3 linked regions of the Neodiprion lecontei genome follow. The protein of the gene in region 1 purifies or fractionates together with the protein of each later gene. This does not show direct contact. Links are inferred from orthologs where the notes say so. Each region holds a gene or a part of one and is shown on either strand. Other genes may lie near its edges.

What was found.
Region 2: the proteins of regulation of nuclear pre-mRNA domain-containing protein 1B (region 1) and DNA-directed RNA polymerase II subunit RPB7 purify together in Homo sapiens (affinity purification with mass spectrometry; 3 studies listed by BioGRID and IntAct, counting the BioPlex papers as one, with this or other methods). This does not show direct contact. The link is inferred for Neodiprion lecontei from reciprocal best matches to the Homo sapiens genes RPRD1B and POLR2G.
Region 3: the proteins of regulation of nuclear pre-mRNA domain-containing protein 1B (region 1) and GPN-loop GTPase 1 purify together in Homo sapiens (affinity purification with mass spectrometry; 3 studies listed by BioGRID and IntAct, counting the BioPlex papers as one, with this or other methods). This does not show direct contact. The link is inferred for Neodiprion lecontei from reciprocal best matches to the Homo sapiens genes RPRD1B and GPN1.

The regions. Positions count from the first base shown.
Region 1 is NC_060260.1:20,829,009-20,832,766, forward strand, and holds the start of regulation of nuclear pre-mRNA domain-containing protein 1B, read right to left. Parts: upstream 2,698-3,758; 5' UTR 2,586-2,697; coding exon 2,435-2,585; intron 343-2,434; coding exon 20-342; intron 1-19. UniProt on the Homo sapiens protein: Interacts with phosphorylated C-terminal heptapeptide repeat domain (CTD) of the largest RNA polymerase II subunit POLR2A, and participates in dephosphorylation of the CTD by RPAP2. Transcriptional regulator which enhances expression of CCND1.
Region 2 is NC_060263.1:8,226,993-8,230,651, forward strand, and holds DNA-directed RNA polymerase II subunit RPB7, read right to left. Parts: upstream 2,751-3,659; 5' UTR 2,480-2,750; coding exon 2,468-2,479; intron 2,384-2,467; coding exon 2,274-2,383; intron 2,056-2,273; coding exon 1,896-2,055; intron 1,815-1,895; coding exon 1,764-1,814; intron 1,694-1,763; coding exon 1,628-1,693; intron 1,132-1,627; coding exon 1,060-1,131; intron 988-1,059; coding exon 954-987; intron 837-953; coding exon 823-836; 3' UTR 563-822; downstream 1-562. UniProt on the Homo sapiens protein: Core component of RNA polymerase II (Pol II), a DNA-dependent RNA polymerase which synthesizes mRNA precursors and many functional non-coding RNAs using the four ribonucleoside triphosphates as substrates.
Region 3 is NC_060262.1:18,441,666-18,445,423, reverse strand, and holds the start of GPN-loop GTPase 1, read right to left. Parts: upstream 2,720-3,758; 5' UTR 2,662-2,719; coding exon 2,583-2,661; exon of another isoform or gene 2,349-2,582; intron 2,261-2,348; exon of another isoform or gene 2,171-2,260; intron 526-2,170; exon of another isoform or gene 426-525; intron 363-425; exon of another isoform or gene 265-362; intron 165-264; exon of another isoform or gene 49-164; intron 1-48. Other genes in the region: ATP-dependent RNA helicase DDX24, read left to right, coding at 2,879-3,076, 3,476-3,758. UniProt on the Homo sapiens protein: Small GTPase required for proper nuclear import of RNA polymerase II (RNAPII). May act at an RNAP assembly step prior to nuclear import.

The sequences.
Region 1 (3,758 bases):
GAATTAAAATTGTTTGTACCTTTATTTTACACACCTTCTCAACCTCAATTTTAATTTTTTTTTTAGGTGGTGGCGTTGATGGTTCTTTAACAGGTTCAACGGCTAAGTCAAAAGCTGCTTTGAACTCCGTTATTTGCACTTTGTCGTAGACACCTCTTTCCTCCCATATTTGCAGTAGCCTACCTAATCTCTCCCTTGTCTTGTCGTCAAATCTTTTCATGTGCTCGAAAGCCTTCGGCAGAATATTTCCAAATTCTTTGCCAAATTCTGGCCCTTTCTTTTTACTATTTTGTATCACATCATTCGCGAGATACATGAATATCAGCTTACGGTTGTTTTTGGCTGCAAACAAGGTTATTACTTAATTCTTTCCGATTCGTACAAAGATTGTGCATAATTTTTAGTTACATGCAATTGTAATTTAAAAATGTAGGTAAGATAAATAGACCAGTCATTAACCCAGGCACAATTGAATGACCATAATCACAGAAAGTTGCAGTAGCAGCAAGTAGAATGAAATTTTTGCACAGATACACTTGCAGATTACATGGAAATTGAACCTTGTTTTAGAATTTTCATTCAAGAAATTAGCTCAAAGACTAAAACTGGTATAAATAATGAAGTCAACTATTAAATCCAAATTCAGGACTTGAATAAGCACAAACACATGAAAAACAGACAGGGTATCTATTTGATATGTGTAATGCTGGTTTTCTTCGAAGTGTTCAAGAATTCGCTGCATGTTTTTCAAGAAAATTGTTTCAATTTTCAAACTACTACACACGGACTCTATGGACAGCATAAGAAATGATCTTAATAATAATATGAAATTAAGCGATGAAGAAAAATTATTTTTCAACAGGAATCGGAGAAATGCAAAATCTTGAGAATACTAGTTGAGAATAACTTAACTTTAACTTATTTTATCAACTTTTAACTAATAACTATTATAGTATTTCAAACATTCTTTCCGTATTGTTAACAAGTAATAAACAACTACAGTACATAAATAAAGGCAAGAGTCCCCTGGACTACTGTGAGTTTAATTAATGCATCTCAGACATTAGCTAAGCTGATTCGAAATTATTGCAGTTTGGTCAGCTGGTGTATTTTTATCTATATATTTCAAGCTATAGCTATTCGCACCATCAAATAACACATGTTACTTCAAACACTCCGAACGGATGTCCGTCGTTAATTTTTGAATGACAATAAGGTTACAATAAGATCAGCCTCAGTTATACCATTGCTCGGGTTTGCGTAAATTATTGTATTTTGATGCTATTTGAAAATATCGTAAGAAACATGAAATCGAAACTATGCATCGGTGTCTACTTTCTTCACAGTTATAAAATATATATGAAACGTAGCTCCGTTGTTGGGGAACAAAAGTTTTGGATTGATATGTTCGTGATTCAGACTTGACCACTCTTACCAGATAAAAAATTTGCAAATAAAAATTTAGAGCAACCCGTGTAGACTCACTCTGTAGCACAAATAGACATAGCATAGATCTTATGTGCGATGAAACATTTTTGTCAAATAATTTCAAAATCAATATTGAAGATATGAATAATTCATGAGCAATATTTAATGCACATTCATTTTCCACAGCTCGATGTATACAGATATCAAGCATAGATACATTTAGGATATAATGTCTATGACTATTCCATGTGTGTGATAAACTAATACAACTGAAAAAAAAAATATTATTCATGAGAATGCAGATGATAGCATTTGGCTCCGTTGCTCACAAGTGAATTTTTGCCAGATCCATTTGGAAAGGACTGTCTCTGCAGTGTTCGCTCCCAAGAGTTTTTTTTCTATAAGGTCTTTTTCTACATTCAAGAATTATTCGTCCAGAAACTGCATTTCAATGATTTGCAACACTTTAAAGGTCGAAATAAGCATATCTAAAATCACGATACACAATCCCTTGATAAACATGAGGAAGATGACTCTATCACTTCTAAGGCTGCAACAAATTAGGCTTTACTTTCTGTAGAAACTAATTCTTCACAATCAGGTAATGTGGGATTTTTTTCTGCAAACATAAACTCTGTAGAAACTATCTTGGTAATAGCCTCACAATTCATGTGGTAACAGAAACTATACAGTAGCAGAATTTTTATCCACGAACTCAAAACCAGTTTCATCTCCTTTTTAAGCACAGCTTATCAAGATCGTTCAATACAACCACCATGATTAAATTTATATACACTTTTATCTCATTTCGTTTGAACGAATATATCTACATCACTTGGAGATAACCTCAAAATTGCTGAAAAGTTAAAGACATTCCTAGGATGTTGCGTTAATTGTCTTCAACGTAAATTTTCATCAGCATTGGTAGCGGTTCCTTGTTTTCAGATATATTGAACAAAAGGATGGATGAATGGTTTGGCTGTACGTGACAGAAAATAATAGTTACCCTTGCACATCTCTTTGTACCAAACTTTGACGATCGTTGGATGATGTTTTCTGTGATGAATTAACCATAACGACAAGGTCTGAATGCTCTGCTGGGACGGGTTTAAATCCAGTAATTTTTTCACCAACGCACTTTCAGTGAAACCTGCCATTTTTATAATATTCTACGAATTTTTAAAAATTATCGGCACACGAAACCATCAAGATTTGCATTAACATAATCACACCAGCAGCTTGCCATCACATTTTAACGCTAGCAAGTGGCGCTGCTGGCTGACTGTTCAGTATCCGGCGTGCATAGTCAAAATTGGGGTGGGTTCGCATAGCTGCAACGTCGCGGTTGTGCGGGAACCAATAAACATGCATAAAATCCAGTGAACAGTATATTTCAAACATTGTGATTCGTTACCTCTCAACCGCACCCGTACCACGGCGCGTATATGAATCCAGCCTTAGGGTGCTATTTCATGAGCAGTAAGAAGCAGCAGCACTAGCAGTTTTCCCCTATCACTTCCGGCGCAAATTTCTGCTGCTCGCAGTTCAGTTTTTCGAGCGACAAGCCACAAGATCACAAGAAGCTACGACCTATTTCATGAGCAGCGCTGGTGCTGCGTAAAATTACCAGACTAATGCTAGTGAAAACTAGTAAGTTACTAAACCACTGCTGCTTTTTACTGCTCATGAAATATTACCCTTAAGGCTCGTTGTGTATTCGTTGTGTACGAAATCTAGTTACTTTTCAGCACCCATCACGACGGATCACGGAACAAACAAAAGTTACTAGATTCTGAACCAATATGAAGGCCTTCGAAAAGTGTCCGCTAGATTTAGACCTAATATATATATACACTGGATTGGATGTTACCGTATACTCTACGTGTAAGCTCGTGCGTCCAATTGAACAATTGAATTTCCGCCATCTTGTACAGAAAGTTGTCACAAAATGCGCGCTAGATTTGAACTGCGTAATATATGCTATTTAGATCTAACGATATATTCGTCACACAAAAAAGTTTTTGACGAGTAAAATAATGTTTGACACATTAAATGAAGAACAAATCATTTTTTCGAAAGTATATTATTATTTACAATTATATGGTGTAAAAGATCATTAAATAATATGACGAAAAACTTGTATTTAAGCGTCATTTTTCTTTATGTTCAAAAGAAGTCCTCAATTCTAAGAAGTTTCCGTCCATTATCCTTCATCCTATGGTGGGCTGAATTCCATACGGATTATTCAAAAATTTGTATAATACTAATTCAACCGTTAGGGAATCCATTTGCCATCCATTGATCATCAAAGTGGAGCTGAAGACATGTAA
Region 2 (3,659 bases), on another chromosome or scaffold:
CGAACGATTTTCAATTAAAAGAGCAACTGGCGTTATGTGATGACAAATTGGGTGTTTCAATAGTAAAGACATTAACTTCTGCTTCTAGATAGATTTGACAAAGTAAAGCTCTAGTGAATAGGTAAGTTTTAGTTTAGTCACCGGTACACCAAATACTTGGAACATACAAAAGTGTAACTAATCAGTCTGAGATTCAAATTTTCGAGTGAGTGATGTTCTCAACAATTATCGACGATTGATTTGTATCACATACAAATGCAGTTTGTTGTTAGATTTTCATTACGTAGATTACATAATTTATTAAGAAACTGTGATGGTCAGATGATTGAATGTAGTCATTGACAAATTAAACCACGAGATGACGTTGAATGTAAGAGAGTTTACTTGCTTGTAAATTAAAAACGAAGCCACCGCTAAGCGTCATCTATAGCCCGTGAAAAAATAAAACTATTATGTATACATACTTGTACACCGTGCCTTTGGTTTATATTACTCCACTCAATCCTATATACCTAATCCGTGAAACAATTTCAAGTCCTGCACATATGAATGAAGAAACGTATCCCAAGATAAAAATTTATTTACACATAGAATTCAAACGTAATTCCTAACTTAAGTATCTTTTATTATCTTATAACCGATTTGGGCCATTGATTAATCATCTGAACTTGTCACAAACTAGTCATTTAGATGAATGTACAAACATCCCAGGATCAATTGTCACACTTTACATTGGTCGCCACTTCCTTCCGTGCCATAAATTATGTCAGTCCATGGATCGGATAATATGTTACATTTTCGAAGTACAGTAATTAGTTCCCATTACATCACCAAGCCTAGAATCCATGCATTCAAAACTAAATGTTAAAATCTAACATTCAATTAACAGTAAAGATATGTAAGTTCGAAAATGAAAAAAAAATGTATACAGAATAATCTAAACAGAATCTTACCAAGGAAATCATCCATTAAGGTACCAATGGCAAACTGAAAATGATTCACAGGAAAATTAATGAAATAAGTTCGTTAAAAAAATTCTTTGTAAATCTGTGTACTTACAATCCCTGTCGCATCAACTCTGGTACCGACAATTTTTAATCTTATTTCGTCATCTGCTTGAATTACTACATCCTGTAATTGAAAGAATAACAAATTGATTATCCTTAGATTGTTTCAGAAGAAACCTTCGAAACAACCTTCGATGTTCGATAAGAAATAACTTTGGGAAATGTTTCTATGAAGCACTAACATCGTGTACATGTTAGTTCAGTTATTTTTTGACATGAATTTTACTATCATTATGATTGTACCACGATAAATTCATCTTTTTGTATAACGTAACGTACCAAAGCCATTGCAATATTTAGCTAATTGTTTTATAATCAATAAAAGGTATTTCATATTCTTTGACAACAATGGCTTGTTCTCAATGACAAATTTTAATAGAAGATAGATAATAACACGAATTCAAAAATATATATTTCAGAATCAAGGCTAAATATTATTTTATCGTTTATCAAAAGCGATGTTCATAATTTTCTAAAACTAGCTAAAATTTGTATAAGCAAAAATATTATTTCCACAGAACATCACAATCCAATATCGAATTTCATAATAAATTTCTCACCTCTTCCTTTGACTTATAACAAGGTGGATTGACATTTGGACAAAATTGCATGTCGGCTGGAATGGACTGAAATAAAAGAAAACGAAAAATTTAGGTTTACATCAAATGATAAATGGGAAACAAAAAAAATACTCACGTGATGAGATATGAAACAAGACAATGGTCCTATTTCAGCGAACATGCCAACCTACAACCGTAAGACATACACAGAGTAATGTTTGTACGATTATGATCAAAACTCACATATCAACATAACAACTTGTTATACCTTATTGACTTGCGTTACGACTGCGTCCAGAACCTCTCCTTTGAAAGGTCGAAAAACAATAGCCTTATATTTTACGGGATATACAACGAAACCTTGTCCTGGCTGAATAATACCAGCTCCAATATTGTCTATCGTTGTCACTGCGACGACAAATCCATACCTATAGAAATTCGAGGTGAATAATGTTTTGTAAGTGAAATGCTTGACGTAATGGAAAATGTTGTCATTTATAACATTTAAAGTATAAGAATAAAGGCAGTTCCACTCTGTTCGTAATGTTTTGCGATGAGAAATAAGATTTGCATAATTTCAATCGCTATACCTGACTTCAATACCTATTTTCAAAAGCAATTCAATCAGTTATTAATTATCACATACTTTCCAGTGCACGTTCCCTCGACTTCAGTGTACAGTTTCTGTTTAACCGTATCAAGTAGCTGAGGTCCAAAGTATCTCGGATGCAACAAGATCTCATGCTCCAACGATATCTGTAATATGATGGCAATTTTGAGTCAAATCAACTCGAACTAAACACATTTCAATGCGAATAAGATAAGAGGAGGTTAACTTACGTGATAAAACATGTTGTTTTTTACCTCCGTTAACGGTCTTCAGCTATCCAACTTATTACTTTTTTTTTGTATTTACAGAATCTCTTGAAATCGATACCCTACTTTTCAGAAACTAAGTCTGACAGAATCTGTCACATTGGGGTTATGTTCGTACAGAATTACGCCGCGAAATGTGACTATGCGAGTGACCGTTGGAGTAACGCGGCAGTCAGGCGCGGGAAAATTGCTGCGCATGCCCAAAAAATAGCGCACGTTTGAAATTGTGGAACGTAATATTTCACGGAAAACCCATGATTGAAGATATATAAAGACTGATAGCCTTATGAGACTTTTCCTAATCGAAAATGGAAGAAATAAACTCATGTTCAAGCGGCGCCACCTGCATCCTACCTTGTACGCGCAACTCAACAGCGTAGCTGATGTTACCATCGCTCATCGAATAGTCGAATATAATTATGCCTATGGAATGACGAACGGGAACAGACTGAAATTTTCATACAACTCCGTGTGGACGCCGTATACCTACTTTTCAACTACGCAAATTCATTTAGGCCAAATTCAGCAATATCAATTTAAATCCATCGCATCGACAAAAATAATGCTATGTATATAGATGCACAATAAACATGCACTTGGTTTACTGTTGACAGAGTTGGAAACCGTTTCTTGATGCAAGGAATGGGAAACAGTCGAAGAAGTTAATCAAAGAATAGAGATATATAATTGTTCCTATATGTACCTTATGTAATTTTTGTAAATATGTTTAATACTTAACTCGGACCGTTAACTGAAGATAATAATATGTATCTTCAGTCAACGCTCATACTTTCATTTCAAAAAAAGATGCAGCTGAAATATAAAAATAATTTCTTAACTGACATCAGGGTTCCGTGATTTTATTATCGATGAAAGATGACTGCTTTAATTATAGATGAATGATGGTCGTTTTAATTATATATGAAGGGTGATCGTTTTTATCTTATATGTAAACGGCAATTAACTTTGGAAGTTCGCGCACGGTTTTTTTTTCTTATGAGGTACGAGGTAATCACTAAAATGGAGAACCTGGTGAATACGCAAAACAATCTACAACTAAACCAAGATCAAAAACACGAATAGCTGTAAAATGTTGTCATTTACCTATCGGAAGACGATGCAGAAATCTTTGAAGAAATGAAAACAAATCGGAGTA
Region 3 (3,758 bases), on another chromosome or scaffold:
TTTAGAATGCCAGATAAGATTCCCATGGCTAAAGAAATTTAAAGCTACCTAGACAAGCTTAAATTGTAGGAAAATGCTAGTCCAATTTCGAGCTTTGGAGGTTGGACATAATAAAAGAATCAGAGGTTAGGATTTTTTTGCGTTGAATTTTTTACGATTAATTTGTCAAGAGGTTCTTACAATCCAACGCATTATTATTGGCTACTTGTATCTCGACGTTTTACACCGACAAATAACACGTTATTAATCAAACCTAATACGTACAAAAGGAGTTATTGTAAATATTGACGAGACTCGAAAGATACCGGTACGTCCTCAATCAAAAATTGTGTAACTCAGGCCTGGAAAGCTAAGAGTCCTCACTGAAATGTATAATATATCAGTGCTTTTATGTATTTTTAGGAAATTATCTATTAAGTCTCTACCTGTTATTTTCTTCGAATTCGACAAGCGTGTCAATTGGGAAACTGTTGTTCAACTCTAGATATAGGTATCTTATTCTAGGTGGTCTTCGGATACGCTATCTAGTGACCAAATTCAACATCTGACCGTGAGCGCGTAGCTCGAATTGCTAACAGCTGACTATGTATTTGTTTATGTGGAAATGTTAATATTATTTTTTAGTTTTTCGATTAATAATTAAGATTTAAAAAGTGAATAGTCGATCCAAGTCATTGTTTTGATTATGGAATTCCCTGCGCGAAAAAATAAAAGTAACGTGTATTGCTGTGTGTTTGATTGTCAATGTAAAGCTTATGGTGATGAAAAAATCAAGTTTTTCCATCTTCCACATCCCAATAAAGATTTCGTCGATAGAATCAACAACTTTGGTGATAAATACAAAAGCGATAGTCGCGTAGCTTGGACCAGTGTTGAGAATTGGAAAAAGTGTAATGACCAGTATAAGATCTTTTCACTCCATTTTAACAAAGACAATTTTTACCATCATGTAATAGCTGTTGGTTCGACTCATTCTTAACTTAAGAAAATAAGTGTTCCTTCTCAAAATATTCCTCCAGGATCAACTACAAAATATACTCGTCATGTAAATTCTAGAGAAGAAAGAATACGTAGGAGATCACTTATAAACAAGGTACTGACAGCTGAAGGTACTGAAGAATTGAGTCTTGATAAAAAAAAAAGGAGAGGACATTTTATTTCAATTATTTTTATAGATTTAAAATCATCGAATACAATAGCATCAGGTGAGCAACCGAGCTAAGGATTATTGTGTGCAATAATAAGACTGCATTCAACAACTTTGAACTGTGTGGAATTTTCATAAAGCTCACATGCTGTGGGTTCATTTTAAACCATGTCTAGTATAAGTATTACTTATCACAGTTGGATAAAAATACTTTAATGATTTGTACTACCAATCGAGTTCTTATTTTTACTATAAGTAAATAATCTATAGCTTGGATCACTTCCTGTAATTCTAAATTGTCTTTCTTTCTCCCAACAGAATAAAATTCAGTAGTTGAGCAACTCCATTTAATATTGTTCGACTATTTTCTTACAGCAGTTCTGAAGAGGATTAACATCAATTTTTTCTAGTTTATCGAGAAAGACTGAGGACTTTTGATTACTAAAAACAGCTAGAATTCTTCCTGAACAAATGATAGCACTATTGTTATTGCTTGAAACTTGGATATACTCATGTCTTGTAATTCTGTAAATAAAACAGAAAGAGAGAAAAGAATATTATAAAATAAAAACACAACATCATTGAAATTGTGAAATAATTTATTAATAATAATTTCATAATTAGATTTGACAAAAAAGCGTAATGTTTTTAAAAATCAATTTATGTAGCAGTTTAATACTCTTTCATAAAACATGATTATTTGTAAAACATGCAATCAGGCTTTGAAAAAATATGTAATGCAAATAATAGGAATTTGTAATAGTGATATATGTGTAAAAAAATCAGGTCAAAAATTGATGATAAAAATGTAAAAATAAAATGTCAGCGTAAAATTTACACGTGTAAAGCTAGAGCAAAAAATTGTACTTCTTGCTTTTCAGACAGCTGTAAATTTTCATTAAAATCCATCGATTCAGTGTTGTTAACATCTCCAGCTTAAATTTCTTTTGTTCCCTTATATTTTAAGCATGGAAATTTTTTTTTTCGCCGATAAAAGACACTCATGTTCATGTAATGGCTTGCCTTCTATTTTTCTAATGAAGATTCATGAAGCCAATCCATACACATTTTTTATGAGTGCAAGTAATCATTGGCAAGCTCTTCAAATCATTGCTGTAAAAATAAAAATCGATTTTAATAAATTAATTGTTGGAAAAATAAAATAACTGTTATAGGTTATGAATGTGACAAAATATCTTACCGGTTGCAATGGAGTAATACTGCGACGTGTTTACGAATGACCTGCCTTATAAGAAGAACTCATTCCAATTATTCGACCGTCGTTTATTATTTGACCAGTTATTTCATAGGGATTATTTTTAATATAATGAATAATTAATGTTTGTAAACAAAAAGCTAAAACACTTATAACATTGCAACCACTGATTGGTACTTGTCCACATTTTATCACGTGTCCAGCATTTAAAACCCTCACCTCCAATGAAGTTTTTATTGCTTGGCTTTGTGCAAGCAAATTCACAAATTTCTTGTAGACAAAATTTCATTTTATACATTAATTAAAATTACAAAAACAAAATCACCCGATACTGCGTTATGTACAGCATAACTTACTAACTCTAGTGCATATTTTCACCGCTTGGTTCAATTTTATAGTTAGGTAGTTAGGTTATATAATATAGTTATACTTCCCTGTCATCTGACTCGCTTCGAATTCAATGCTCGCACGTGTTCGTCGTGATATGCGCGTTTCTTTCCTCGCAAATCGAGGTTATGTTTAGTCGAAACAAACAAGCAATGGGGAAAATCAAAAAGGATAAATCTAAGACGTGGAAACCGTTAAAATTGGAGGGTGCCTTTTTTGCTGAAGGTATTGACGGCCTGATCGGAATTGAAGAATTGACGGATTACAGTCTCGAAAAAGGAACCAAAAAACGAAAAGCAACTCGCTCCGATGACAAATTAGACAAGGTAAATGGTTTCCTGCATATTGAAATAATTTTAAATATCTCTAATACTATACCTTTCACCGAACAATGGTCTCAATATTATGTACAAGCACACGAAATAAATATCAAGATAACTCTGGTACGATAGAGCAGCACTTCTTCTTTCGAGAGTTAAATCACTACCGATAACAGATGATACATATTAAGGATATTGAAGGGATTGAGAAATTTGTAAAACTTACAGTATCTGGACAATATTAACGAACTTTCGCAGTGCATGAAAGGAAAATCTGCTTACAGCATAGTTTTAGTTGATTGATTTATGACGTGTAGTCAGTAACATTACAGAGAATAACCAATAGCTCTGCCAATTTTCTTTAATATTAATAACAAGAAAATTGAATCATATTTAACAAACAAGGGTAACAAGAAGAAAAAGGCTCAGAAACTCGATGACCAGATTGACAATGACGAGGAAGACGAGCATTCAGCTCAAAAGAAAAAACTTAGAGCAGCTGTGAAAGGAGAGAAAGTGAAGCCGAAGAAGAAGAAGCAAAAATTCGACGATAAACGTGGTATAAAGCAATCTGATCTAATTGAAGAAGAGTCTGGTATTGGATCCGATAGCGAATCTAATTTGGATAAAAACGGGCATGAGGTTGACGCAGAGGATGGATGTCTGATCAATCTGGACAATCTAAAAT